Linked DNA regions of Tamandua tetradactyla. The protein of the gene in region 1 interacts with the protein of each later gene in a biochemical or structural test. Links are inferred from orthologs where the notes say so. Each region holds a gene or a part of one and is shown on either strand. Other genes may lie near its edges.

What was found.
Region 2: the proteins of KBTBD8 (region 1) and TCOF1 form a complex in vitro, tested with the Homo sapiens proteins (2 studies listed by BioGRID, with this or other methods). The link is inferred for Tamandua tetradactyla from reciprocal best matches to the Homo sapiens genes KBTBD8 and TCOF1.

The regions. Positions count from the first base shown.
Region 1 is NC_135341.1:17,349,380-17,359,217, forward strand, and holds the start of KBTBD8 (kelch repeat and BTB domain-containing protein 8), read right to left. Parts: upstream 4,959-9,838; 5' UTR 4,786-4,958; coding exon 4,770-4,785; intron 4,161-4,769; coding exon 3,950-4,160; intron 195-3,949; coding exon 1-194. UniProt on the Homo sapiens protein: Substrate-specific adapter of a BCR (BTB-CUL3-RBX1) E3 ubiquitin ligase complex that acts as a regulator of neural crest specification.
Region 2 is NC_135346.1:31,143,582-31,153,631, reverse strand, and holds the start of TCOF1 (treacle protein), read right to left. Parts: upstream 4,794-10,050; 5' UTR 4,737-4,793; coding exon 4,629-4,736; intron 2,233-4,628; coding exon 2,177-2,232; intron 1-2,176.

The DNA.
Region 1 (9,838 bases):
TAGCACACTGGTCTTGAATGGAAGGAATCTGGAAGATGCTAGCTGCGGTGAACAAGGCTTGAACATTGGCCTCTGATAAAATAACTCTGGAGGTATAGGCATAGTTCAACACTAAATCCATAGATTCAGCTTCAACACCAACGATTCGAACTTCTTTCTGAGTACTTTCTGTAAGGCCGCTAGTGAACATGGATCTAAGAAAGAAAGAGTAGGTAATATTATATTAAAAAAAATTATAAAAATTACTGTGGCAAATTTTAAAAAGCATAAAGTTATCATATAGATAACCTTTTGAAACAATGAATATTTCCTAATGTTTTTCCTGATATTGTGAACAGGGATAAAATTAATCTAGAAGGATTTAGTCTAACTAATCTCAAAATCTCTACTCATAGGGCAAGTCCACTCTGTGCCAACTCTGGAAAAGGGGACTATACTTAACTAAAACAAACCAAAAGGTGACATGGCTTATTTCAGGACATCTTATTTTACCTGGGGTCCCTATCCAGGTTTCTGGTCTAGCGGCCTCAGGGAAATGAGCTCTCAAATGGTCTAGGCTAGTAAGAAAATATAAGAATATCTATAGGATGTCAATGTGATACACTAGCATACAGAAAGACTGGTAGAATTTTTCATGTCCCAGTGGAAATTACTACATCTGCCCAAAATATATCTTTAAAAGATTTCATCTTGGAAAGTTAAGATGCTCATCAAAAATGCATTTTCTCCACCTACTCTTTTTTAAAGCTATTAACTTTTCAATGCTTCCTTAATCTTATAAGGAATATACAGAACATAACCTCACTTACACTTGGATATTTTGAAACCCTGTTTAAAATGATATATTTAATTTACTGAAAGTTAACATATTTTACCCATTTATAACTGGACTAAAGATAAAGATTACGGTAGAGTTAACAGAATACCTTCTTCTAAAAAGACTAAGAGTTAGTGTGATTCTTGGAGGATAATAGTTTTTAAAATCCAAAATTTTACTTTGAGACCAAACTCTTTTCTAATTAAAATAGCAGTACATTTATAGGGCTTTCTTGGACAAAATATTTAAGTAACCAATAACTGGCTCTTTATTTAAGAATCATTTACCTACATCATGTGCTTTTTTCTTTTTAGTAGCTCCTTTAAGGTTTCTTTCTAGGCTGCTGTTAAAATTAAATATAAAAACCAAGTCAAAAAGCTCTCTTATAAGACTTCTGAGGAAAGGGCTGTGTACTATTTAAATTTGCACAGAAATTACTGAGTGAGTTCCCATATACCCCCCTATGCTATTTATTGTTGCTTTCAAGGTCCAGATGCTTTTAAAATGTTTTTTGAAGAAATTTACCTAACATTGGTGATACAGTTCAGATCCAGACCCTACTATTTTATTTTTAAGTGCTATGTGATAAAAAATATATACTAAATGGGAAGATTTCCAAATTAATTTCTATAGTAATTATATGAAATTAATTTCATAATGCAGTATAAGAAATATTTGAGGTACATAAGGGTACAAAGACCCAGCTTGGCCTGTGTTAACCATCTTTGAATCCTATTTTTCCTTCTACAATGTACTTTCAAGTTTAATACTGCACAAGATTTTTTGATGGCTAAAAAACTAGCCGTTCCATGTAGAAGGCTAAAAACTAGGTGTTCCTATGTAAAAGCTGGTTTTCAATTCAGGTGCCCAAAGAAGAAACCATCCAGCTACCAATTAAAAAAGAAAAATAAAGCCCTTCATTAGGCAGAGATTAACTCCCAAAGGATAACTTTACCACAGATCCCTTTATCATGGGAACTACTACTGATTTGAATAAGCTAGTCACACACTGGAGGAGTCTGACACTTGATAATTGCTCCTCTGTTCAATTAATTACTTACGTACACTGTATATGAAGTGGAAGTACTACTTCACACAAAATCCCAAGTAGCAACAAGTTATAATAACTCATACAAATTTTAATTTTGACAAGTCACTAGAATCACAAAATAGTCATGCCAAATTTCCAGCTATTCTAATTCTTCCACCAGTGATGCAAGACTTAGAAATTATTAAGTATGACTTTCTATATCTCAATAAAGAGAAGCACTGGTGCCAAGAAATTTACTCTGTTAAAAAAAAATACTGTAGCAAGAGATAAGAACATAATCCTAAATTTTCTAATCAAATATCTTAGTTTGAATTCACATATCCTGTGTTCAGTAAATTTTTTAAGCATTTTCTTACCTTCCTGAAAATTAAAAATGTATATTGTAGCATACTTCTTTTAAAAGATTTGTCAAAGTCTTAAAACTGACAAAGTATGACATTTATGTAATATAATCCAAAGTATAAAATTTCAATAAGATAGACATTTTCACTTTGAACTTTCAAATTTGAAGTGTCAGAATTTTCAAAAAAAAATTTTTTTATATTTGTACTATTCAAATCAAATATACAATAAAAACCTTTCAAAGGCAACTTTAAAAAGAATCTACTTTACCCACTCGTTTCTTAGACACCCAGACTAAGAACGCTAGCTCTGCAATCAAATCCTTCCTCTGCCACTTACTTGTTAAACAGATGATTTAGGCAGGTCACTTTACCTCCCTGAGTCTCAGGGAGATAACAACTATGCAGAGATAGGATTATAAAGATCATATAAGGCAATGCATGTAAAGCAAGTTTAGCCCAGGGATTGATAAATAGTTAACATGGCAGATATTTATACACATAAACAATCTAACCATCTCTAACTGATTGCTTGGATAAGTGAAATCTCACCATTAGCTTCATTACCAGGCCAAATTCATACCTTCTGGGTATGCATTTCACCTTTGTTCTTTCCAGTGTACTGTCTTGTGATAGTTAATGATCCAATGACTTACACCAGGCAAGACTAAATGGTTACATCACAAGCAGACTGAAGTGACTATATTTAACCTAGTATTCTGAGAAAGAGGAACTAGAAACTCCAGTGGAAAACACTACACTGCCACATGCCCTACATGGTAAGCACCTTCAAAATGGAAACCATATTTAGGGTGTGGTGAAGAAGATGATTTTATTAGTCATTCATGCATTACTTTGTAATAGTGGAACAGTTAAAAAAAATAAGCACTTGAAAACAGGAAAAGAACTTAAATTCAAACAGGAAACTGACGTTACTGCTAATCTTTTTCCTAGTGTATGAAATTATTCTGAAGACCCAAGTTTTGATATTTTACATTGCCAAGTTTTATGATACGCAAACACAAATATGAAATGACAAGTTGGCTTAAAAATACTGAAAATATTGGAAATAATCACTAGTCTGGGGCCTAGGGCAAACAGAAACAATAGTTCATTCATTTTTATTCCACTGCTTTTACCACCAAGGCATTGAAACAATATATTGACTAGTGATTTTGTTTTTAAAGGAACAGGCTCTCATGTTTTGAACTCTAAGAGTTATATGCCCTAAAGAAATAGACATAAGGGGTAACTTTTGGAACAAACTAGATTGTACTGTCCATTAGAACGCATTAGAACGCTGAATGATGGAAATGGTCTTTATCTGCACTGCCCAAAACGGCAACCACCATTGAGCACTTGATATATGCCTAGTGTAGAGACACTGCATTTTAAGTTTTATTTAATTTTAAATAATTTCAGTGTAAACAGCCACATGGGGCTAGTGGCCGCCATATTGGGCAGCGCAATTCTGGATTTTCTGGTCATTTACTTCAAACAAAAACAAAACACAGGTACCCCAACTTAAAAAAAGCAACCATCTGAATTCTAGAAGAATCCCTCGTGTCAAAAACAAGGGCTATGTTGCAAAAAGTAGAGCGTGTTATCTACTTACTCTTCAGGAAACAAACTCAGTGATTTCATTTCATTGTTGCTTCAGCATAATAATCAAGAGGACGGTACTGAGGGAGAAAGGGAGCTCGGAGCTAATACCAACAGAAGTTTCTACCATCATCATACCTGAAGTAGGGGCTGATTGCAGCAAGAACGTTTCTATGACAGGAAAATGTTTTCCCGTGATCCACTTCCACTACAATGTCTGTCAACTGTCCTTCATCGTACATTGTTTTGAGTTGCTTAAGAATACTGCAAGCATGGAAGGGGTCCATAGCTTCGTAGGCTGGGTCTGAAGATGGAATCCCATTCGTTGTTGGGGAAGACTTACTTAAATCTAGGAGGAGAAAAATTGTACAACCACAAGAAGTTCCGAGCCAGTTACGGCGTCATAGGGGTTTTTGTCTCTTTGCTTGTTTTTCTCCCCCCTACAAAAATGCATTTACGTATATACACACCACCTCGTGCAATCACGAGGTAGGACCTGAGAGACTGAGAAAGAGCAGAAAGCGAGCTGCCGGGCAAGTTCAAAGGGCAGCCTGCTCCTCCCGGAGCTCGGCGAGTCCGGCGCTCGGCGCTCGCAGAGACACAGTGTTGGCAGAACAAGCGAGGTGTCTGCGGACACAGCCGAAAGCCGGGACGTTCCAGCTGGGAGCCAACGGCAGAAGCCTCACGAGGGAGGTTCGACGGACGGCGTCCGCCGGTGCCGCTCCAACCGCCTCGCGACCAGGTCTGCGCGGCGGCGGATACCCGGTCTCCCCATCTCTGCCCAGCCGGACTGAGCACGCCCTCCACGCCCTTCATCCTCCCTCCCCTCAGCCCCCTCCACCTCTCCATCCATCTCTGGCAGCGGGCTCCTTGTCGCCGCCGCCGGCTCCTCAGCGCGCAGCTTGTGGCTGCCCCGGCCCACCTACCCCCACACCTCCCTAGCCGCCACAAGACCCACCTGCCGACGCGGCCATTTCTCGACGGGGCCCGGGATCCAGCTATTTAAAGAGGAAATGTCATTTCTCTTCCCTCTCTCCCGGGTTCCGGCTCTTCTAAGCTCACTCTAGCCAATAGGGTGGTCTATGCAACCAGCTCCGCCCCCAGGCTCCGAATTCCCCACACCGATTGGTCATGATACGCGCAAGTGTATGTCGGGAAATGTAGTTTCATTGCCCTCGCTCCCGCGTGGTCGCTTTCGGAGGGAGGCCGAAGTCGGGGATTTCTATTGGCTGGTGCGGGCGGAGGTGGCGAGCTGGGAGTGTGCCAGCCTGTGTCCAGGGAGCGCGCGGTTCCTGCCGGGAGAGGTAGTCTTCTGGGTGAAGAGACCTGTCATTCTGAGGGGCTGGGGTAGGGGAAGCTCTCCAAGTACAAATTTTCCGGTTTTAGGCCTCTCTCCTGGCCCTTGGCTCACTTTTTACCTTATTCATTCCCCGAACGTCCTGCCAGTTACTAGCTTCCGATACGAAAGCGTGCAATGCATGAGAGCTATGAAACCAGAAAAAAATTGGAAATGGACAAGGGGACTGCTGTCCAAAATTGCGAAGGAAATCCGATACCCCACCCTGAAGAAAAATATCAGGAGGCCCAAGAGCAAGCCATCCCCGATGAGTCACCTGTGACACTCAACTAAATAGCATCGCCTTGGCCGTGTGCTTCGGTTTCCAGATTAACTTGGTTCGGTTACAACGGATGCTCAGGATCTTTAACTCCCCCTCATGCCTTGCTTTTCTCGCACACCCAGAGGACACCTGTTCCATATTTAAGAGACGCGAACATTATAGAGGGATTCAGAATGCCTTCCTTTTTGGTCCCGGAAAATAGAGGATTTCAAATACTTAGTAGTCTGGGATTTCCTTTAAAGAATATTGGAATACACTGAGCCTCGAGCCAGAGAGTTTATTGAAGCTTTGGTTTTTTTACTTAGTATATGTGGGGCTTAGATAAGACCTTTCAACTCCTGAGTACTTAGATCCCTCACCTGTAACGTGTGAATAAGAATGCCTACTCTGTCTCATGGGCTGCAAGCCTTTTGCAAGAGGACAGAAATTCGACATGTTTTGATTTGTGTAGAAACTTGTGCCTCTAGCATTTAACAAAATGCCCGGCACATTACAGCTAATTTATACTTAAAAAAATAAATGTAAGGTGCAAATCAGCTAACATCGGGAGTGCTATTTCTAGACCTCAGAATGTAAGGAAGAATTGTTATCAATGAATGGGAAAGAATATTTAATAGAGATATAGTTAGCTCATGCCCACAACTTTTCTTTCATTGAAAAGTTCTACCGCTTGAGCTTCTTAATGAAGGATCTTGAAGTTTAAACTGTGTTTGAGAAACAGAGTGACACAGAAAGAAAATGATGGGAAACAATTCAGTTCTGTTCCTAGGCCTGCTGAAAAATTGAGAACTTGAAGTACTATAATCCCATGGAAGTTAACAAGAAATGGGTCTAGGGTATGTGGACATCAATGTGCACTTGTCCTTCTTTATGAAAACCCTGTCTACACAGTCCTGCGTGGATAAAATCAATGTAACTTTTGTTACTCATGACTTTCATTTTCCATTTCTTTATGATCCTAACGTTGTTGCTTTATAGTTTATGAAAATATAATGGGGTTTTCACTCACAATATTGATGCTATTAACAAAAAAAATGGCATCAATCCTTAGGGTTGCCAAATTTAGCAAATAAAAATAAAGGGCATGTTACATTTGGTACATACTTAAACTAAAATATTTGCTGTTTATCTGAACTTCAAGTTTAATTGGGTGTTTTGTATTTTATCTGGCAACTTTATTGAGCCTGTTAAAATAGGGTTTTTGTATTTGTTTGCATTTTGTTTTTGTTTCATAGCCACCTATCTATTAGGACTTAAATTTAGGCATAAAACCTGATTTTCATTCCATTCTCTCCTAACTAAGAAACAGTCTTGGTAATATTGTTTGAATAGTTAAAAGGAAATTTTCTGATTCTTTGACCTACAAATATTTCTATATGGGGGGGGTGGAGCTGGTTGCAGAATACAAGGAACAAAAGCCAGGCTAAATCTAAATAGAAAAAAAATGAAAATTTATAATTACAGTGTTGCCATTTATATGACACTGAAAAGACTCCATTCTTCTAAGCAGATGTAGTGACATAGTAAAGATTTCATCATCATTAGAAATGCATTTTTTAAAAACCATAGAAGAAGTAGGAGGATCTCAAAATTGAGCCAATTGTCACATAACTATTTGTTGTCAATGATCTTTAAGAATACAAAGGGGAATCTGTTTCAGGGTTGGTACTGAATAGCTAAAGGCTAAAGCTTTTTATATGAATAGCTATAATTTTAAATTTAATAAGAGCCTTCTGCAAATCTGGAAAGGCAGCCGTAAAAGTAAAACAATTTTTATCTTAATGTATTAAGGCCTTTGAAACAACTTTCTCATTAATAAGTTAAAGTAAAATCTCCTTTGTTGAAAATTAAAAGGGAAACCAGAATATTGAAGAATCTATATTTAGCTCAAATAAGACATTTGGAGCTTTATTGTTTTAACACTTTTTACCTAAGAACCCAAACCAAAGAAGACTGTTATAATTGTGGTTGTCTCTAAGAACAGAAAAGTCTTTACATTTAAATTCTGGCAAAGATGAAGGACTGCTAAAGGAGCAAATTTGGAAAACATTGCTCAGAGTCACCTTGTTTTTTTCTGCTTCCACTGAAAGAGAATGACATTCAGCAATTATCAGCTCTACCCTGGCTGCTGTCGATGATAACACCATACTACACAAGAATGATAGCGACTCTGATGAAGAAGATATAAAAGAAAATAGAACTGCACTTCTGCAAATCGATTCTGCAGTTTCCAATTTCCTTGTTCAGTACTGGTTGTGGCTGTGAAATTGACCAGAGCTATATAAAATGAAAGTAAAGACAGAATACCTGCAACCCTTTCCTTTTAGCAAATGGCATCCTTATATGTTTATCCTACTCAGGTTACCACTACAACCTTCTTGATATTTTCAATGGGACATTTTTTCTTACTGGAAATTTTTATGTTGGTGGGCTTCATGCTTGAAATGAATCAATGAACATAACTATTTCTAATATAAATTTTATGTAATATCAGATACCAAAAGTTTTCTTAATTTTTAAAGCTGTATATATTGTACACAATTTAGTTTTCAAATATAAAACTCTGGATAGGCAGTGATATCAAATTCACTGATTGGACATTGCTGACCTTTGTTTTATTTTTATTTATATTTCTTTTGAGATGATGTAAGGCTTTAACATAGAAATAAATAGAAGACTACATTTCTGTGAATCACTGAATTTTATCGGACTGGGAAATATTAAAAGCATTATTTGTGTTTTTAATGTCTGGCATTTAGAAGAGACCATGAGACAACTGGGGATATTTCACAGGTTTTCTTTTTGGAGTATTGAAAATGTTCTAAAATTGATTGTGGTGATGAATGCACAGCTCTGTGATTACACTGAAAGCCACTGATTGTATACTTTGGATAGATTGTATGGTACATGAATAGAGCTCAATAAAACTGCTTTGAAAACATGTATATTATCCCCCCTCCCCTGCCCCTGCATTCAAAGTACGGCATTGTGTATGAAAAACTGTTCCTGTTACACATACATGCATATAGTCCTTAACTTCAAGGAGCTGTGGTTTATCTGTGGATAAACTCACTCTCTCATATTCTTTCTCTGTCTCTCTCTCTCTGCCTCCCTACCTGCCTGCCCCAATGCGCTGGTAACCTCTAATCTACTGTTTATGCCTGCAAATTTACTGTTTATAGTCATCCCTTATAAGTGATGTCATACAATATTTGTACATATATGTCTTGCTTATTTCACTGAGCACAATGTTTTCAAGGTTCTTCCATGTTGCTGCAGGTTTCATACTTCACTCTTTCTTATGATCAGATAATATTCCATTGTGCTTTTATATTACTATTTATCCATTCGTTTATTGATGGACACTTAGGTTGTATCCACTTCTTTGCTATAGGGGATTGTTCTGCTGCAAGCATTGGTGTACAGTTATCTGTTTGAGACTCTTCATTTCCTCTGGGTATATACCTGTATGTGGAATATCCAGGTCATATGATAAGTCTATATTTAACTTTCTGAGGAACCATCATGTTGCCTTCCACAGTGGTTGCACCATTTTATATTCCCACCAACAATACACTAGAGGTTCAATTTGTTTGCATCCTCTCGAACACTTATTTTTGTTTTTTAAAAAATAATAAGACTCAGAGTTGGAGCTCTGCAGCTCTGAAAGTCAGCATTCCTACATACAGTAACTGTTCAAGAAGCAAAAAAGAGATCAGTCTTCAAATAAAGATAAAAACAAAACTGATCTGATTGGGACTAAGATGAATCAGAATACAGGGTGAAGAATGACAGTGTCTGAATTTTAGAACATCACCTACTATATGAGACTAAAGGAAGAGATCTTTATTTTGTCCAAAACCTAAATCTTCTGTAGTGTACAGTCTAACTCAACCTTCCTGGATAGTTCATTTAAACAACCCAAACACATGGAGCCCAGAATGGAAGTGAGGGCTTGCAATTCTGTATAGCTTAATGCAATACCCAGATACATCCCAGAGTATAATTGGGCAGATAATTAAAAAGTATAGGCAAAGTCCCTTCAAGGACTGAAGAAACGATATGAAGCTATTAAGCTTTCCTAATTGGTAGACCCCTGGTACTCTCAAACACTAAGGACTCCTAAGTTAATGGACCAAGTCGTGGATCTTGAGACTTGCTCTTATGAAAGTTATTTCTGTAGCGGAAAAGCTAAGCCTACCTAAAATTATGTCTAAAAGTTACTTCCAGAGAACCTCTTTTGTTGCTCAGGTGTGACCTCTCTCTCTCTCTTGACCAACTCTGCAAGTAAAATCATTACTCTCTGCTCTATGTGGGACCTGGTATTCAGGAGTTGTGAGTCTCCCTTGCAACATGAGACATGCCTCCCAGGATGAGCTTGGCCCTGGTCCTGGAATCAACAATGCTG
Region 2 (10,050 bases), on another chromosome or scaffold:
GGTGATTGATTGTACCAACTGGGTGAAATGATAACTCCAGGGGATTTGAAAAGGAAGACCTTCCCACATCCTCCCACCCTCAAAGGAAACAAGCACAGAGAGTTTAAGCAGTGATGAAAACACTGTAGATACAATTTTGTATTCTGTATTTTCACTCATTTCATAAAGTGGGTTTGAAATCCTCTATTAGTCTTCGAGAGAATCATGAATGGTTGATAATGTTATATAACAGCAGCAGCAGCCAGCAGCCACCGAGCCACGTGTGCTGGGCCCATGTGGACACTTTACAACACCAATAGGCTCCTGTCTCCTCCAGGACTTGCTCCTCAGGGTGGGCTCCCTTCCTGGAAGACCCAGGCCCTTCTCTCCTGGAAATCTCAACTCCAGTGCCGCTGCCTCAGCAAGGTGCTCCCCAGCGAACTCACTCTCTACCAAGTCGTTCTCTCCTGTCTCCTGGCTTCATTTTCTGCAGAGCACTTCTCTCTCTCAGGTTTTTTTATTTACTTCCTGCCTGACTTCCCACAGTAAAGGCTGGGCTGCGATGGAGGGAGGAGGGTTGGCAGGAAACTTTGCCGGCTCACCATACTATCCTCAGTGCCTAGCACAAGTCTCAGAGAATGAATGACTCAGTGACTTGCTCAGGGTTAAGAATAAGTTTGGGACATCGGAGGGATAAGGCTCCAGATCACTCAGTCCTCTAAACCTTCAAATATTATCTCCTTTGAATACCCACCCCTACCCCCTGCAGCCAAGGGAGCCGCTGTCTATGCCTGGTGATTTCTGGCTGGGATGGACACTGCCTTCATTCTGCAGCTGAAGACACAGACTCAGAGAGGCCATGAAACTTGCCTAAGGCCATCCTGCTAGCTGCTGGGTTTGAACTTTGTCAGGAACCACTAGGCTAGGCTGCCTCTGGTGGGTACGCGATTCTGGGCCTACTCAGTACTTCTCCCCCATAGAAAGGGTTAGTGGCACAGAAAGGTGTATGGTATAGCTCACTGAAGCTGTGCTCTGGGGAAGGAAGTGCTATGAATAACACCCAAACACCTGAGAAAGTTGAAAGGCTGAGGAAGAGGAAGTACATGCCCTGGGCTCTGAGCTTGACTTAGCAGCAGAGGAGAGCCAAGAACCTGAGGGCTGGCAGGTTTTTTGATGCCCACTGGAGGCCCAAATTCCCTCCACACCATTCATGCCATTGCTTACACACCTCCGATGATAGGGGAGCTTACCACTCCTACTGCAGCATAACTCATTTTTGGACAGCAATGATGATCAAATGTTTATATTTAAAAGTTGAAACCTATCTTTCTAAAACTAGTCTTCCCCAATCTATCCAGAGATCTTGGTTTCAACTCCCAATATTCCTGGAATCTACTGTCCACCCTCTCCACCTCCTGTCATCCCTGCCTCAAGTCCTGTCAGGTCTTGCTGAGATGATCTCCACAGCCCCCGACTGGGCTCTCCAAACTGCAGCAGAGTGATGAGCTGATCTCATCACCTGCTTCACCCTTCCAGGGTTCTTGCTGCTTACTTCTTTTCACATGAAGACCAGGCTTTGCAGGGGCGGGCCCTGTCAACCCCTCAACCTCATCTGTATGTCCCCCAGGCACGGGGATTGGAAGTTCTAAGCACACACTCCTGCCTGTTTACACCGATTGCCTAGTTCACTCTACTTCTTTCAGCTCTCAAGTCACATGTCACCTCAGGGAAGTTGCCCCTGGACTCCCAAACGAGGGCAGGCTAACCTGTTTATGTAGTTTGGGCACCGGGTACTTCTCTTTTGTAACCCTTACTACCACTGTAATTTAACATTTATTTGTTTCATTTTCTGACTCATGCTCACCTCCCTGATTACAATGCCATTCAGGTCTGTTACATTCAGCACAATATCTTTATAATTAGAACAGGAGGACCTGGCATTCAGTAAGCGCTCAATAAATGTATGTTGACTGAACAAATGACAAACTGCTGAGTTTTTGTCTTTACAAGATCACAGCTTTCAATGTCCCTTCCTATACCTAGAAATATCCAGACATGTGACCTGGCTTCCTGGAGGTAGCTACGGTGTTCCAGTGGGAAATGGGGACACATCTTAGACCAGATAAATTTCTTGGCTTATTCTAAGCCAATTTCTTGGGATGTCCCTGCTCCACCCTTTTAGCACCATCAGACTCACTGTTGCCAGTGTGTATAGATGTCCAGAAGGGTAACAGGCTGAGCCAGGAAAATTTTCTGCAGAGAAAAAGAGAGCAGCAATTAACCCCCCAGCACAGGAAGCTCCTGCTCTGGGCCCAACTCTCCCCAACCTCATGACCGGCAAGGATAGCTGGTTAAAAAGGGGGTCTTTTTGCTTTGGGAAACATACCTGGTTAGCCCTGTCAGCACCATTCAAAACCTTCCAGAGACAAACAGGACAAGCAATTTCAGCTAAAACCTTCTAAGACAAATGTTGGTAAGAGATACCTTTGAATTTTGCAATGTTCCAGGTTAGCATTCACCCAACTCCCAGACACTCTCCATCTCAGAGGCCAGGAGATGAGGCTTTTTCTACTTTGACCTTTCAAAGGGCCTTCAAAGGCCTGGCAGGTCAATCTCTCTCAGGCAGTATGAACCATAATCCAGACACCCAAGGTATCTAGGAGGCACAACCACAGTCCACTTGTCTGCTGGGAAGAAGCTGTGCCCAAATGTTGTCAGTGCCTTGGTGGTAGGGGAAGAAACCGGGTGGAATCCAAGCCTTCAGTGCCAAGGCCAGTGGCCCTATGCTCTCTGCTAATATCAAGAACCTGGGGTTTCAGCCCCAAGGAGTCTGAGTGAACAATGTGGGAGGAGGACAGAGGTTCACAGACCTGGGCAGAATGGCCCCAAAAGGGAGTCAGGCAGAGCTGGAGTCAGCATCTGGAGTCAGCATCTGGAGTCAGGCAGAGCTGGGTTTGAGGTGGAATCCCTGAGTATCCCTGGGCTAATCTCTACACCTCAAACTTCAGGTTCCTTCCATAACACAGGGAACACCAAGTGTCAGCCTCACTCTGTTCTGTCCCAGGCACACTGGCCTCCTCATTGCCCCAATTTCCCCACCTCCCATTCCCACTGGCATCTTGCTGTTGCTTCTGTCTAGCATGCTCTCGTCACTGCTAGCTGCGTCACGTACATCCTCATTTCCTTTAGGTCTCTGCCCAAAGGTCACCTTCTCAGTTTGGCTTCCCTGATTACTTTATTTGCAGTCGTACCCCTGACATTCTTTATCTCCCTTGCCTGCTTTATTTTTATAGCTAGCATGTACCATCACCTGACACACCATGTGCAATCTAATAGAACGTACCTTCTATGAGGGCAGGACACTTTTGCCTGGGTATATACCCCAATGAAGATAGACACTGGTGACTTGCATCCTAGCTATTAAGTGATCTAACAGGAGTCAGAGGCATAGCCATGGCTCAGGGAAGGTTGGAAAAAACATCAATAACATCCCCAGGACCCATCACTCTTTGACAGTTCGGGAGGACCTGAGAGCAAGCATTAGGATCAGTTCTACACCTCAGCAAAAGGGAACCTGCCTAACTCCCACCACTCACCAGTTTAAAATCCTCCAACTGCCTCCCACTACTCTTAGGTAAGGACGAAAGTAACCACAGGACCCACTCATGCCAACTCGTTGCTCCCTTTCCTGTCCCTACAGGGACCTCTATTGCCCTCATCCCCAGCCACAGAGGATTTTCTGGAGACCAGTGCTTACAAAACAAGCTCCCTCCTACCACAGGGCATTTGCATCTCTTCCTAGAATATCCACATCCCTTCCTTCGGATCTTGACAGTCACTTCCTCATGGAAGCAAATTTCAGATAGTCCTTGTGACTTGGACAATTTGCCATACCATATCTTAGCACCCTATGGCTCTCCTTCTTAGCACTTAATGTAGTACATTTATAGAGACTTTTAATACTTTGGTTTATGTATTCCCTACTAGACTGCAAGCTCCAGGTGGGCTGGGAGCCGTCCTCACCATTCTATCATCAGCAACATGAAGCCAGATTAACAGTTATTAAATGAATGAATGATGTAAGAAATGACTCCCCCACGAGTTCTAACCTCAAAGCTGTCCAATTCAGTAAAGAAGAATCGCTAGGGGCTTGAGTTTCAATTCAGTAAAAGGCCGAGGGCTCCTTCTTGGCTCCTCCGGAGGCTGGTCGCCCCTCAGACCCATCACAACCTACTCGGCCCGGGGCGGGGGTGGGGTGGGGTGGGGTGGGGGTGGGAAGCGCCGAACCACGTGGCCAGAGACTAAAGAAACTTTAAACTGCCGCTCCCAGGAAGGGGGTGGAGGTGAGGGGCAGACTAAAGAAACTTTAAACTGCCGCTCCCAGGAAGGGGGTGGAGGTGAGGGGCGCGGGAATTACAAAAGCCCAGGGAATCCTATCACATGTCTTGGCCCGCCCACTACAATGATGGGGAAACTAAGGCCCAGAGGGATTGGGAACCACAGGATAGGCAGAGGCTGCGGCTCCTTCGGCGCCCCGGCCCACCACCTCGAGCCCGGCGGAATCCAGCTCCTGGGGCCCGCCCGGCAGTCCGGGGAGGGGGTGTGGGCCGCTGCTCTCCGGATCTAGCACGCGGCCCTCGCACGCTCACCTGCCCACTCTGCTCCTTCACTTCCCGCGCCGCGCGCACATAGCCCGCGTGCAGCAGATGCTGGTAGATCAAGGGAAGCAGCTCCCGCCGCTTTCTGGCTTCGGCCATGCCCACGACCCCCGGCCAGTCGGCTCACCTGCACGCCCCCCCCAAGTCCCCGCCCGCCACTTCCCTCGTGCCCTTAGACCTCGCGCGTCCCACTTCCGGCCCCTCCTTCGTCCGGGTCCCTTGGCGCGCCGGGAAATGTAGTCTTTTTAACTTTGCGTGGCTGTCCCCACCCCAGCGGGTGAAGGGGGCGGAGACTCAGAGGGCAATAAGACCTCCCATAGGAGGGGAGGGCGGGGATTGAACTAGCCCCGCCTCCTGCACGGCCATCCTATGAGTGTCTCCCGCCGCGGAATCCCTTTGAGTCGCTACTTGAAAGAACTTGTCTTCTGTTTTCCGAACGCTGTGATCGAGGTTTAGTCATCTCTGAGTTCGACTAGTAGGCATTTCCTCCTAGAGCCGAACTTCCTGTTGTCCATGCCTTTATTCATTTTACGCATTTTTCAGGACTTTTGAACTAAGCACTACTTGTCATTAGTTCATTCATTCACTGATTGAACAAATTGAACAAGGTAACTTGGGTTAGCACCGGGTTCAGCAGGGGGGATAAAATGACGAGTAAGAAGTAGCGGCTGCCCTGAACGCTCACAAGGGAGAGACAAGCAGTCGATATCCAAACAACTATAGTTAAATTCCTTTTGTATGCAGCGTATGGGAGTAGGGAGGAGGGGCGCTTAACCCTAAAGAGACACAGATTAAAGATAGAACACAGATTTATAAATGCAGAGGAGAGATCTGACACCCCACACTGAAGGCATCACATGAGTGCCTACAATCCTGGTGTAGACTGGGGAAACATTGTTATGCTGCTGGCCTGTACTGGGGGGAAGAAGGACAGAGTGAGGACACGTAAGGCTCGAGAAAGGTCCGTAAGGTCCCCATGTAGAGGCAGAACGCTGCTCCAAGGACAATGGACCCTTGTTTGGCTAGTTTTATGCAGGAGAGTGACATGGTTTGTTTTTTAAAAAATATCGCTCTGAACAAAGCATGGAGGATGGATTTGTGAGGTATAAAACAACATGTGACACTGCTATAGTTCAAGGGAGTTTGGCAGGGGAAGGATGAGCTAGCCTGGGGTTAAGTCATTTGTTCTTAATCTCATGGGTCCCGTTGAGAATTCTATGGAAGCGTGAACTACCCAGCCCTTGCTCTAGAAAATTTTGAATCTGTACAGATACATGACATTTTCCACCTATTTCAGCACTCAAATAGGCACATACCTATGTCTTCTAGGATTAGGAACCTCTGCTTCAGGAAGAAACACGGACAGGACAAGATGGTTGATTGGATGTGGTATGTAAGGAATAGGGAGGAAACTAATCTACAGTCAATCAGTTAGCAAATTTTTGTGGACCCCCTACTATTGTGGATAAAAAAGTTCTCTATGCCTATAGAGCTTACAGGTTAATGGGGGAGACACACACTAAACAAATAATCAGTCAGATACGCTGTTGACTTGTGAGGAGTAAATGAGTTCTAAGCAGAAATGCTTAGAAGAGTTCCTAACAACAACAAAAAAAGTGCTGTGTATGTATGTGTTATTATTGTGAAAGCATTCAACAAGAATGCTTGGGGGTTAGAGAAGCATACCCTGAGGACATGATATTAGTGAAGAAATCTGTACTATGTCTAGAGGATAGGGGAAGTGGGAGAAGAATCTCGGACAGAGGGAAGAACCTGTGCAAAGGGCCTGAGGCAAAAAGTACTGCTGAGAGAGAATGAAAGGTAAGCCTTTGGAAAAGGACCCAGAGGGAAAGCACAGGGCTTGCGGAATGCAGAAGGTGGCAGAGGACAGATTCCACATCAAGGATGTTTCTCTTCATCCAAACAGCTATTGGAGGCCATTGATGGTATAAGCCAAAGAAGGTTAGGATGGAATTTGAGTTTTAATGTGACCAGTGTGAATGTCCATGGAGAGGGGAGTAGTGGGTGTGTGAGTAGATGTGAGACCTGTTGGGGTTAGGGTTACAGTCAGGCATCCAGGGGGAGTGTATAATAGTGGCTGCAGTAGGGGAGTGGTAGTGGAGTTAGAGGATGATAGAAGATTCCTGGAGTTATTCAAGAAATAAAATAATCATAGAGATGGGCTGGAATGGGAGAGTGAGGGAAAGGTGATGTTAGGATGGACTCTGTGTTGTCTGTGCAAATACGTGGACTGTAACTTTCACTAATATAGGAAAAATGGAAGGGGCTTGTAGTGGGAGGGTTGAATGAGGAGGGGAGGTAGTAGAGATGGAGGTGAGAAGTTAAGTTCTACTTTAGACATGTTGAGCTTGAAATGCCTTTGAGATACCAAGTGCAGATGTTGATTAGGCACTTGGAAACATGAGTTTGGACTCAGCATAGAGATCTGGACTAGATATGAATATGAGAAATTGTCAACAGAGAGATGATAATTGAGTCTGTGGATGAGGACAAGATGGCCCAAGTTGAAGAACATAGAGAGAGGAGAGAAGGTGGTCCAGGATGGAGCTTTGAGGCAACGTGCAGGGCAGTGAAAAGGAAGTTATGCCTGCAAAGATAGAAAAGGAGCAGCTAGAGAAGTGGGAGAAAACCCAGGAGAGTGGGCTTATAGAAGGAAGAGGAGGAAAGAGTTTCAGAAAAGTGGGACGAGACAACAGTGAGACTGCTCAGAGAGGGCAAACAGGATAAGCATGAAAAAGGGTCTCATTTTAATGTCGAGCATGGAGATTGTTGGTGACATCAGGGAATGAGATTTCTAGAGTGATTGGATAGAGTCACATGGCAGTGGCCAGTCTGATGGGTGAAGGAGAGGTGAGAGAGACAGCGGGTCTTTTGGGAAGTTTTGTGTGAATAGAAGTGAGAGCAAGGTGTTATGGTCAATGTGTGTGTTGGGGGAGGGGACATTGTGCTTTAAGACGAGTTTGTTTAAAGGCTGATAGAAGATCAAGGGGGGAGGGATTAATTAGGACTGTAAGGAATAGAGGAAATAATCATCAAATATAATGTTCATGAGCAAGTAACAGGGGATGGAATCAGGCGTGTAGGTGGAGGGGCTGGATCGGAGAGGAGGAGGGATGTATTCTCTAGAACCAAAAGAGGGAACAAAGAGAGGATGGGTGCAGATGTAGATGTAGGTTTGTGGTGGGATGCTAAGGGAGATTTCATCTTGAGCATCTATTTTTTTCTGCAAAGTGGGAGGCAAGGTCTTCTGCTGAGAATGAAGAAGAGGTGGTGAGGAGTTTGAAGGAAGAAGAATGATCATTCAGATAGTTGAGGAGAAGCTTGCACACAAAAGTCCCTGAGAGTGTTGACAACCCAGTTGAGAGTGGTGGTCATTAATTTATGTGTGCTTGTCCTGTCCTGCTGAGCCATTTTCTCCAGCAGGGCGCAGCTGCCCAGACACAGGCAGGTGGAAGGAACTCAGTGGGGTTTATCCAGGCCCTGATGGGTGGGGAGAGAGACATAGGGCTCTAGAGAGATACTAAAAGAAATGCCAAATCGCTGGGTTCTGGAATCTAGTCTGGGTAGGAAGTGAAATGAAGGCAGATGGGTCAATTTTCAGGGACACCATGAAGGCCTCCGAGGAACCCCTAGGAGGTACAGAACCGGAAATCTGGTTCAGGAGAACAGAGACAGCTTGTAGCTTGAATTAGTGATGACACCCAGCTTTCTGCTTGGGTGGCTGGACGAGCTACTCACAGAGATGGTAAAGGGGGTCATAGAGCATACAAACTATTGTAATAGCTAAGGTTTTTTTTCACACACCCCCCCAAGAACCAGTTTTTACCTCCCCGTTGAGAATGCCTGCCTTAGTAGAATGTAAGCTCCCTGAAGGCAGACTCATGGCTGTCTTGTTGGCTGCATTATCTCCAGCCCCTAGCACAGTGCCTGCACGCAGAAATTGCTCAGTAAATATTGGCTGCATGAATGACTGGACTGTGATAGACAGAAGAGAGGGGGACAGAACAGGCAGGGCACTCACTGTGAGCATAGCCCTGGAAGCAGGACCATGGAAGGCCTCTGGAAAAGGAGAAGGAACTGGGTCATGTGTCCTTGGCTGACCTTGGTAGAAATGGAGAACTGGTATTAATTTAAAAGCAAAAGCAAAAGCAAAAAAAAATGAAAAACGGGATGGTCTATTACCTTCTGTCTGGTAACAGGTTGTTTGCTTTTGTTTTCTTCCTAATAAAATTCGTTCTCAGCACTTACGCTTTGTCCCCGGCTCCTGGGAGGCTGCATCTTATGCGGACAATTTCTTTATCTCCTTGATTTTCCAAATCATACCCTTCACTGAATTGCCTCGGGGCCCAAGCACAAAATTAAAACATTAAACTGATAAAATATAACATGGCAACAATTAAGACAACAGCAAACAAAACAGTACATTAAAAAAAAAAAAGCCTCAGAGCATTTCTCTTGCATTTAGGAAAAGAAGTCTTTGTTAGCCATACAAGCCAGAAACTTCCAGACCACTTGACTGTGAGCACCTCACGGGCAAGCAGCGTGCCTCAGTCATCCTGCATTCCCGTGCAGGGCCCAGTGAGGGAAACGTTAGTGCAGGAAGGCTGGCAGAAGGGAAAGGGAGCTAAACAAGTGGGGCATTGTCCTCTTCTCCTTCCAGCAGGGATGTATCCTGCCCGGAAGTAGGAGATGGTGTTCCATGGGGGAGAGACCACTAGGCCGGGATCTGGGAAAGTGCATTGGGCCTGGTTCTGCTGGGTGGCCTTGGGTCAGTCTCTGGCTCTTGCTCATCTTAGCATTTCCTACTGTCAAAGGAAGGGGTCAGTCAAGGACCCCTCCAGCATTGGGACACTCAAGAGAGGGTCTCGTGTGGGAAGACTGCCCTTGCCCCCAGGACTCAAAGATAGTCCACTGTATCTGGTGTAAGAGCCTGTTTTCTCTTGGCTGAGTCACTTTGGTCAATAGGCTTCCCACGGCTTTCTTTCCTCTCATGGGATGATAGTATCTCTCTTTTTTCATTCCTCAATCTCACCGGAATTTTTAAAAGTGTACACAAGTATACGCACCTGAAATAACAAATTAAACAATGCAGAGATTCATAGACAAAGCCGGTCATCTTTCCCTCCCTCTTGTCCATTCCCAGTCCTCCCAACCCCACCTGGGCCCCTCCTCATCCTATTTCAGCTGCCTGCTGTTAGACTCCCCACATCCTTGGCCCTCTGCCCCCACAAGGGTTTAGTCCTTCCCTGCCCTTACCCTTTTCATTTCTTCTTCTCTCTCTCCCTTCTTTTTTTTTTTAACAAAAGAGAGTTCATCCAAAACATACAACTCTGCAAGTCACTTTTTTATGTTTTATTACGTATCAGAACATTTCTTTAGACACCCTTTTGAG